Linked DNA regions of Xenopus tropicalis. The protein of the gene in region 2 interacts with the protein of the main gene of each other region in a pairwise test. Links are inferred from orthologs where the notes say so. Each region holds a gene or a part of one and is shown on either strand. Other genes may lie near its edges. The genes, in order: smad7, pias4 and satb1.

What was found.
Region 1: the proteins of pias4 (region 2) and smad7 interact in a two-hybrid assay, tested with the Homo sapiens proteins (2 studies listed by BioGRID and IntAct). The link is inferred for Xenopus tropicalis from reciprocal best matches to the Homo sapiens genes PIAS4 and SMAD7.
Region 3: the proteins of pias4 (region 2) and satb1 interact in a two-hybrid assay, tested with the Homo sapiens proteins (2 studies listed by BioGRID and IntAct). The link is inferred for Xenopus tropicalis from reciprocal best matches to the Homo sapiens genes PIAS4 and SATB1.

Annotation. Positions count from the first base shown.
Region 1 is NC_030677.2:205,572,773-205,576,430, forward strand, and holds part of smad7 (mothers against decapentaplegic homolog 7), read right to left. Parts: intron 1,248-3,658; coding exon 706-1,247; 3' UTR 1-705. UniProt on the Homo sapiens protein: Antagonist of signaling by TGF-beta (transforming growth factor) type 1 receptor superfamily members; has been shown to inhibit TGF-beta (Transforming growth factor) and activin signaling by associating with their receptors thus preventing SMAD2 access.
Region 2 is NC_030677.2:93,068,816-93,072,473, forward strand, and holds part of pias4 (E3 SUMO-protein ligase PIAS4), read right to left. Parts: intron 1,280-3,658; coding exon 829-1,279; intron 1-828.
Region 3 is NC_030682.2:45,021,852-45,025,101, forward strand, and holds part of satb1 (DNA-binding protein SATB1), read right to left. Parts: intron 809-3,250; coding exon 605-808; intron 1-604. UniProt on the Homo sapiens protein: Crucial silencing factor contributing to the initiation of X inactivation mediated by Xist RNA that occurs during embryogenesis and in lymphoma.

The DNA.
Region 1 (3,658 bases), about 110 Mb from region 2:
TCGGGGGGAGTCGAGGCGGAGAGCGTTCCGTGTGAAATGTATAATTACCAGTCGTGAATAAAAGACATTGGTCTGAAGAGTCTGCAGTGCTTGTTTGGCTATAGGATAGCAGGAACAGTAGCGGAGCAGCCTAAGGTGCCTTTATTATTATCACTGTCACTGCTGTTGCTAAGCAACAACATCAGCATCCATTTATCCCTGCAACTAACCAATAAAAGCACCTTAGATGTTGCTCTAAAGTCGCCCACTTCATACCCCATAAAGCGTGCCGGGCAGAAACGAAGAGACGTGAGGTGTAAGCAGTGGTCACCCATATGCAAAAATAAAATGACAAAATACTGAACTTAATTCTGCATCACTCGGCCCCCTCCCCCACAAAAATATTGTCTACTCATTGCACAAGAAAGCGGTCGATTTCCCCCCCCCCCCAAAAAAAACATTACAAGCACACTCCACGCGTTGCCCAAACACCCATCCCCTACCCGGGGGCAAGCTTGGCCGGAAGTCATTCACTCGGGTAAAGAATAGAACAGGGAAAAGGTCATTCTTGACATAAGCTATTTCTCAAAACGAACGACGACAACAACAAAAAAAAAAAATGACGTAAAAACAAAGAAAGAGCGAGTCCGCATGAAGAAGCAAGCACTCAGGAGGAAATATTAGCAGCAAAGTAGTTGAGAGTCCAGATGTCCGCTCGTCTCCGAGTCACCGGTTATTGAATATCACCTCCAGCCAGCACGGGCAACTGCTGATGAACTGTCTCGTGTAACATTGGCCCCAGCCTTTGACAAAGCTTATCTGTACAGTAAATCCGGTCCATGGTTGCTGCATGAACTCGTGGTCATTGGGTCTCTGCAAACTGTAAGCCTTCTCGTAGTCAAACGCTTTGATGGAAAATCCAGGGAACACTTTGTGGACCAATAACGTCCTAGAGTCCGGGTTGTCCAGTGTGGCAGACTTGATGAAGATGGGGTAACTGCTGCGGTTATAGACCCACACGCCGTCGACCTCCTTGGTCAGCTGGATCCCGTATCCGATTTTGCTGCGGACCTTCTGCACCAACTGACTTTTATTGTCCGAGTTCAACTGCCCAAGGCAGAAGCCGTTCCCTTGAGGTAGATCATAGAAGATATCCAGGGAGGGCTCTTGGACAGAGTATAAGCGACCCACCCTCGTTTTCTCTTCCCAATACGCCACCACGCACCAGTGGGACGGGTCCCCAGTCTCGTGAAGAAGTTGGGAATCTGCTGACAAAAAAAGGGGAAAGGATTAAAATCAGGATACAACAAAAATCACTGTATCATTATAGTAAATATTCCGTGTATACAGATGGCAGCTGGGTTATTATACTGGGCTCCCACAAGTATAAATACAAATATACAGAGAAGGAATGTTCTGGGCACACAATAAGCTGTACCCCCATACTGTACTGTCTAAGGGAAACAATATGGCACCTCCTACCCATATGTATAAATACAAATATACAGAGAAGGAATGTTCTGGGCACACAATAAGCTGTACCCCCCATACTGTACTGTCTAAGGGAAACACTATGGCACCCCCTACCCATATGTATAAATACAAATATACAGAGAAGGAATGTTCTGGGCACACAATAAGCTGTACCCCCATACTGTACTGTCTAAGAGAAACACTATGGCACCTCCTACCCATATGTATAAATACAAATATACAGAGAAGGAATGTTCTGGGCACACAATAAGCTGTACCCCCATACTGTACTGTCTAAGGGAAACAATATGGCACCTCCTACCCATATGTATAAATACAAATATACAGAGAAGGAATGTTCTGGGCACACAATAAGCTGTACCCCCCATACTGTACTGTCTAAGGGAAACACTATGGCACCCCCTACCCATATGTATAAATACAAATATACAGAGAAGGAATGTTCTGGGCACACAATAAGCTGTACCCCCATACTGTACTGTCTAAGAGAAACACTATGGCACCCTACCCATATGTATAAATACAAATATACAGAGAAGGAATGTTCTGGGCACACAATAAGCTTCAACATGTTTTGCCACAGAAAATGTGTTAAAACTCAGAGATATCTGCCCGGCGCACATTAATAGCTGCTGAGCCATACAACCCTGGTTCCTTTTTTTAATTTTAATTGCCAGCCTAATACATGCTGCTATTTGGGCCTCCAGCTTTTTTTAGAGGGGGCCGAATGAAAGGCAGCATATTATCTGCTGTATGGTTTACACAGAGCCTTTAACGCTTCTTGCTGGAGCCTCGGTAATAAAAAGGTATAACTCAGACGTCAGATGAATTATAGATTTAACCGAGCCTATTAAGTCTGTGGTTTGCGGTGTGCAGGGTGGAGACCGGAAGTCTTGTATTTGTTAGCAAAAGTGCACTCAGCTTTTCCCTGCAAGTTTCCTCCCAGCGGCGAGAGAGAGAAATCGGCTCAGTGCAGGGAGGCCTTTAGTATTTTAGTAGGGCCCGGGGGCAAAACAAGCACTGCAGCGCCCCACTATCAAAAATACTGCCAAGGGGCCTATAGGTCTGCAGCAGCAATAGCAACAGTTGCTGCCACCATCTTGCTTCTGTATACACGGTGTTACTCTTGCATTTTGTCCTTCCTTAGTGCACCCAGGCCTTTATGGAATGCCCACCTACATCGCAATATCTGAAATTTTGGGGAGATTTAAAGCAAGTTAATCTGCCTTGATTAGTTTTTTTGTTGTTTGATTTGTTTTTGAGGGGTAGCAGAACAGTAATGGGCGGGGGGGGGGGTGCAAATATTCCTAAGCAGAAGGAATTCAGAGGCGCTTAGGTGTGCCTGGTCGCCTCGCACAGCCCCCTTCTCGGTGCCTCACAATACTTTGTTTCAAATATCTTTATCCCACTGAAACCTGGCACTAAAACGCAGCGAGCGGTGAAAGAGGGAAAGAAAAAAAAAATTTGTGGGGAGGGGTGCAAAGGAGGGAGCGGTGGAGGAGAGTGTTTAGGGAGGGTTTTTGTTGGTGCAATCGGATCAGGTTACCTTTAACCTAACCTTTTGAAACTACAGTACTTCTATGGAGAAAGGAATTTATAAGTAAAGGGGGGGGTGTGCTTCAACCCCCCCCCCAAAAAAAGCCATTAATAAAGTGATTATTAACAAAAACCTATAGGCGCTTCATAACCAAAAATCTAAATTCCCATCATGCCTGTACTGGAACCGCACACTAAGGCACGCCAGCCCTGGTAATGCCCGTACATGCCAGGCTGGAAGGGGAAAGATGGCATTTCTTGGAAAGCACAATCGGCTGCAAACAAAATAAATGCATTCTGAGCGAAATGCAAAAAAAAAAAGTAAAAAAAAAAAAAAAGGTCAGGAAATGTCTATAAAAGCGAGGCTGTAGGCACCCTATTGCGTGAAAGAAAATCCTTAAGCCTGCATTTTTGCCTTTCATCTCCAGGGCCCGCCTGTACACCCAGCAATTTTCAGACAGACGTCAGTAAGGAGAAGTTTTCAGATTATGGTAATTGCCTGCCTCAGATAAATTGCAGGCTATGTGCTGCCTCTCTGCTAACCCCTTCATGCCCAGAGATGTACCACCAAATATATATATTTAAAAAAAAAAAAAAAAATAAGACCGAAACTACTAACAGTGCAAAACAATATGGCAGCCCCTACTCG
Region 2 (3,658 bases):
TTTCACTCCCCCCACATGGCATGGCTCTCTTCGGCCAGGGCATCGCAGGTTGTGAGACCTTTACACATGGATGGTTCCAGACCCTAGAGAACAGAGGCCTGTTAAATATCTGTTACTGGTACATGCAGGGAGATTTTTTGGATACCTTGGCCTGCTTTATTAACTCTTACAGGCCTGTATAACATTCATTTATTCATACTTTTTGAAGGAACAGATTACAGTGAGATATATTAGGGGTTTCTGCCTCGTGTTTGGGTAACAAATTTTGGTTCAGAAGCTGGAGTTCCCCTAAAGAAATAATTGAACTGCATCTTTATGACTGCTATAATTGATTGTAACCAGTCAATTAAGGCATATTTTTTCCCAAAAGTGAACATTTTTATCCAATCAAGCCATGTTTATTTTTTTTTTCTTTGAAATACAGTTTTTATATATCAGCAATAAATGTATGGCTTTGAAGCTACTCCTTCTTTGAGAGGCTAATGATACCCCAGCATATCCTTTTATACCCCAGATATCCTTTGAGAGGCTGATGATACCCCAGCATAATGGACTTCTGTTTCTGTGCACTGGTAATTGAATAACTCGCAAGGAAGTAGCTTCAGTTTACGTTTTTAGATCAAGAAACAAAAACCTATGAATCAATAGTTTGTTGACCCCACTATCAAATTCCACTCCTAGTCAAGTGCAGAATAATATATAATACATAAGGTATAATACATTGGTGTTTTTTTTTTTTTTTACTATGGTAGTCAGCTTGTATATAGAAGTCTCATTTAAGATAGTTACTTTAAAGGTTTAACTAATACAAAAATATGTATCACTTACCCAGCTCAGTTGGCTTTAAGAGTTCATCCACCACATCATAGAAAGGCAACTTGACCAATCGCACCTCAGGCTTGGTAATAACTTTTGGAGGCAACCTTGAGAGCCCATTAACATGTTTCCCATACAAAGATGGGTAGTCTATATTAGGTGTAGAAAGAGAAGTCCTGGGTCCAGAGACTCCGTGGTCATAGGATGGGTGAATAGACAAAGACTCAGGTGCACGATGTGATGTGATAGGCTGGGGTGGAGCTTGGGAGATTGCCTCTGTGCCTTTCTTTGCGTAGCGAGTTTCATAAAGCTCTTTAATTTTCTTGAAAACCTCTGGGCTGCAATCAAACTGTACCAGCTGTAGAGCCCGTGTGACCAGTTCATGTTTCAAGCCACTTTTACTGCGCCCAACAAATCCCAGGAGCATTTGCAAATCTGACACTCGAAAACTCATTACCATGTTCTGAAAAAGAGAAAGCAATTTCAAATTGGTACCCACACTAAAAGCGTTATACCAAATAATCACCGATAACATAATTTTGGTGGTAAATTAAATGGGCAGTACGCAAAACAAAGCAAAGCATGGCAAACAGGGAAAATGCAGCTACTCTGATACTTGGGAGGTAAATAATTAGATTACCAGTATAACCCGCCTCCTTTTAGTACAAATACAGGCAGGGAGATTTAGTCACCTAGATCAGTGCTGTCCAACTTCTGTGGTACCGAGGGCCGGAATTTTTCCGACCTACGTGGTAGAGGGCCGATAATGGAAGCCAGTTTTGACCACTCCCCTTTTTGAAACCGCACCCACTTGAAACCACACCTATGTTATCACATGACCATACCCATATTAATGGTTGTAGTACAGCAAATACCTGCCATACTCTGCCTTCCCTACCCTGCCTGTGTGTGCCATACTCTGCCTTCCCTACCCTGCCTGTGTCTGCCATACTCTGCCTTCCCTACCCTGCCTGTGTGTGCCATACTCTGCCTGCCCTACCCTGCCTGCGCCATACTCTGCCTTCCCTACCCTGCCTGTGTGTGCCATACTCTGCCTTCCCTACCCTGCCTGCGTGTGCCATACTCTGCCTTCCCTACCCTGCCTGTGTGTGCCATACTCTGCCTTCCCTACCCTGCCTGTGTGTGCCATACTCTGCCTTCCCTACCCTGCATGTGTGTGCCATACTCTCTCTGCCCTGTATGGCACACACAGGCAGCATACAGTGACACAATGTTGGCACTGCTCCTACAGTCTGCACAATAACTATATATTAAAAAAAAACAAAAAAACTTTTTAATTGCAGTACCACCTCAGTTCTTTTTCTAGTGTGCAGGGTTTATTTGTGGGTTTCTACTGTTGTCTGAGGTGTGAACAGGTAAACAATGTGGGTGATTACAGCCTGAGCCTGAGGTGTGAACACTGCAGGTATTAAAAGGTGTGAACAACACAGTGGATTACATTTTTAAACAATACAGAGGGATTACAGCCTGAATCTGAGGTGTGAGCCATACAGGGGGGGGGGGCAGTTAATCACAGTACTGATACCATTTAAAGCTTACATAAGAGTAAGCCATCAAAGCAGCCAGGCAGGTGGGGGGCCACACAGAGGGGGGTCGCGGGCCGCCAGTTGGACAGCACTGACCTAGATAATAAAAATCCAGTTGCGGCAACTAATCGCCACTGCGACTTGTACTGTTAGTGAATTACGGATGCACCAACTTGTGTATATTTTAAAGGAAATATTGTCACCATGACTGTATTTTTAGACATAGCAACTGCAGGTTTTAAAAGAAACGCAAACTAATCGCCTTGTCTGTTTTCACCCTCCGTGTTGTTCACCCTCCGTTGTTTGTTAGCAGGCATTCATCTAATTATATACTTTTCAAGGACCAAACAAGTAGCTTCGATCTGACTGTTTAGCTCAAGAAAAACCATAATTTTTTCCACATAAAATCAAAAGCATATGGTACAGCCACCCCTTTTCATAAGTTAAAAACACAAAACCAAGCTAGAGCCACACTGCCTACTTGTAGGTGGCTATGGTCCCCTTCATGGAGCACAAAAAGCAAGTTTCTAGTTATAAGAAACAGTTACATTTGATCAGCGCATTCCAAGAAGATACTTTTATTGATATATTTATAATCTGTACAGTGCTAAAATAGATATGATTCTATATCAAGTCAGCTTAGATACATTTTGGAATTTAGTGTCACAGAAACAACAAATATTAACAGTGCTTGGTGCTTCTCAGGCAACTAATACTACACACAGCATTTTTAGAATGAAAAAGACCAGTAATTGTACTGCTGGCATTTTAGATAAGAGTGACTCTGCGCCTTCAGCCCAATAGAGAGAAAATCTTAGGGCTAAGACACACAGAGCAATTAGTCACCACGACTTTTTAATAAGTCAAGCAATTAGTCGCAGTGGCTGCAATAATACTCTACAACAAGCAGTCGCTGTGACCATGTTTTTAAAAAGTTGCGGCGACTAATCGCTGCATGTCTGCGCCCTTAAAGACCACCACCAGAAACAATCAGGGATGCAGCCAAAAAACTTCACTCTAATGCCTACTGCAGGAGGTAGTTAATGACTCACTATAGCCAATAAAAGTAACTGACTTGATGGCAAAGCTGGTATACTGCCTCCATTAGGGGAAGGAAGGAATCTGCCAAATTAAACAAAATTTTACACATGTTCCACCATTTATTTCAAATAATTTATGCAAAACTAGTTCAGCGATACCTAAGATATGGTACAATGCTAGAATACACAAAAGGCAGTTTATATCTGCTGTCTTCATATATTTAGTGTACTTGTAAAAAAATGTTTAGATTTCCG
Region 3 (3,250 bases), on a different chromosome or scaffold from region 2:
TATATAAATTCTATGCTCAGAATAGAAGCTGCACTCATAACATGGGATACTGTACTGTAACAAATATGAATTAGCTTAGCATAACTAAACTCATTTAGTTGGGCTGTATAAAAAGTGCTCAATCTAAACTTAAACATATAAATATAAATGTATTTTTGATTTACAGAAACATAGCTGATTCCACAGATTAAAGGACACAGTGATAACTCCATAGAGCTGTTTCCCAAGATCCCTTAATACTGACATTGTAATGCACTCACTTTGTTCCATTGTAAACTGATAGATTCTGGGACTGGAAGTCTCTCTGCTTACCATAGTGGGTGGTGCACAGACTCTCTAGAAAGCAGAGCGACTTTAGGCCCCAGAATTCAGCAAGATAAGGGTGAGGTTTGCATTACAGTCAGAGAGGGGTGAGAAACTGGAAAACACACAGACACAAGCTTTTATGGTTTCCTATAATCTGTGGAATTGGGTATGTCTGTAAAAATAAAATACATTTATATTTATTATATCTTATAATTTATATCTGGAAGTTCAAATAATGTTTAAGAATAAAACCATGTAATATAAGAACATAACCATTTCAAACTTCTGTTTTACCTACCTGAATCTGTTCTGCAGAAACATGGATCACATGAGATGGCCTTTCACTGTGCTGATGAACCGCATTGCTCTCTTGCTCATAAATCACATCTCTTTCTGTTTGGGGAAGACTTAGGAACCTTCGAATCATTGAAAGGTTCTCCCACAGAGTCCTGTTTTCCGGTGAAGGGTCTTCTTTCCATCGTAATAGTTCACACAGCCAGCCCTAAAAATAAAAAAAATAAAAAAGGAATGTTACTATGACTGGTAATCATATGCCAACATATATTTATCAGTACTGCTGTTCAGCAGTGACCCAGATATTTGAACCATCTACGCATTTGAATTTTACATAAACAGCATTCTATATAGTAACAGACATTAAAGGAAAATATATGTTACATCGGATTGGGTTACCCTCCATATAGTTCCCCAGCAGGAGTTTTCTGTTCAAGCCCCCTTGGAGGTCCAACCTTTGTTGAAAGAACATCCTCAGCTAGCACATAACAAAGTTACATATTTTTAGTGTATCAGCATTTTAACAACTATAAGTCTCACACCGGCTAAAATATATCTAACTCTATGTTTCTCAACACACACACACACTGGCGTTCTCATTTCTTCTCCATGAATGGTATATACAGGTATCGGTTCCCTTATCCAGAAACCCATTATCCAGAAAGTTCCAAATTACAGAAAGGCCATCTCTCATAGACTCCATTTTAATCAAATAATTCACATTTTTAAAAATGGTTTCCTTTTTCTCTGTAATAATAAAACAGTCCCTTGTACTTAATCCCAACTAAGATATAATTAATCCTTATTGGAGCCATTGGGTCAAATTACTGTTAAAATAATTGTTTTAGTAAACAAAGTAGGCGATCCAAATTACGCAAAGATCTATTATCCAGAAAACCCCAGGTCCTGAGCATTCTGAATAATGGGTCCCATTCCTGTACTTTACAGAGAACATTTTATTATTCGAATGCACCCCTTCCCAGCCCCCCCAGTAGTTGTCCTGTGTATTTTGTAATCATAGAAGGTCCCACATAAACATTACAAAGCATACAAACCCTTTATAGATAGCTTACTGGTTCAAGCTCAGCATCAGAGCCGGGCTGGCCCACTGGGACCAGGAAAAATCCTGGTGGCCCAATCCTCTTCGGCCCTGACATGTATATGTTAAGATTCATGAACATTAGAAATGGCCATACCTGACCATCTTTCCATTTTTCCCCTGATTGGCAGCCAAGTAAGCAAGTAGTGGAGTTGGAGTGGGGCAGACAGGGGGTGGCGGTGCCCAAGTGGTGGGCACTGGGTACCCCAATCTGACCCAGCATCTCAACACTGCATGGCAGCAATGTTTACTACTGTGTACATACTGTATCTATCATACACACTGTTGACTTGAGAGTCTTTTTAACATTAATGCCAAGTAACTGCATGTCAATCACTTGGATTTGGCCAAGCGGTTTGAGAACTGCCAGATTTCCCTTATTTCAATGATAGAAACAAATATAGAGTCTGCTCTGTCAGAGAACCAATTTTAAGACTAATTTTTTAATGGGCGTATTAGGAAAAATCTAGAGAATTCAGCTAATCCTCCATTTAAAAGATGAAAAGGTGACAGTCCAAATGAAACAATGTACTTTGATACTTGTTGATACGTGTAACAAATGGCAGATGGTGAAGGTGCAATGTCTACATTATTTTTAGACAACAAAAATTGCTATAAGAAGGCACGAAAGCCAAGTAAATTATTTGAACTTCAGGATGTTGCTGATTTTGAACTGTCAGAGTTTTATTTGACACCTTCTGTTCTAAATGCTGTTGCTATTCAAAATTCTGCCTTTAGTCCATGCCAGTAACCTTGCCCTCCCTTTAGTTTAATTGGTGGAATGAGATGCATAGAAACTGAAAATGCCATGCAGATGAATGCTGGGCTGTGTTCAAACCTGCTGTATACAACACAAATCCTGTAAAGTTATGTATTGTAAAGGGAAATTTATTGAGAAATAAAGGTCTTAAATCCATCTGCCACACAAGAATTATTATTATGCACTGCGTTAGAAACAAGTGCCATCTGCAAATGTCTTGCAACAGTAAGCAAGGAAATGCTTAACAATTCAATTCTCTTATTTAATATATAGAAGGCAAAAGATACTCAAAGATAAAAATCACAAATGCCCACAAATGCGGAATAAAAATTCAGGTTTGGCCTGTGAAAATAAAAGGCTTGAATGTTTAAAAAAAATAAATAAAATATATATATATATATATATATATACTAAAGAATACAGTATAAACAATAGTATACAAACATTTCCCATCATACATAAAATAATTGTGTAACTGGGAAACACGCATTATATCAAATGCTGGCCCTGTCACGCAGGTTCTGGTTATCCAGAATGGTCAGGACCTCGGGGTTTCTGGATAAGGGATCTTTCTGTAATTTAGACCTCCTTACCATAAGCCTACTAAAAAAAAATTATTTAAAAGTTAAATTAACCCAATAGGATCCCAATTATATCTTAGTTTGGATTAAGTACAAGGTATTGTTTTATTATGACAAAGAAATTGTTCTTCAATTTTTTGATTAAAATTAAGTCTATAGGAGAGGGCCTTCCCATATTTCAGAGCTTTCTGGATAACAGATCCCATACCT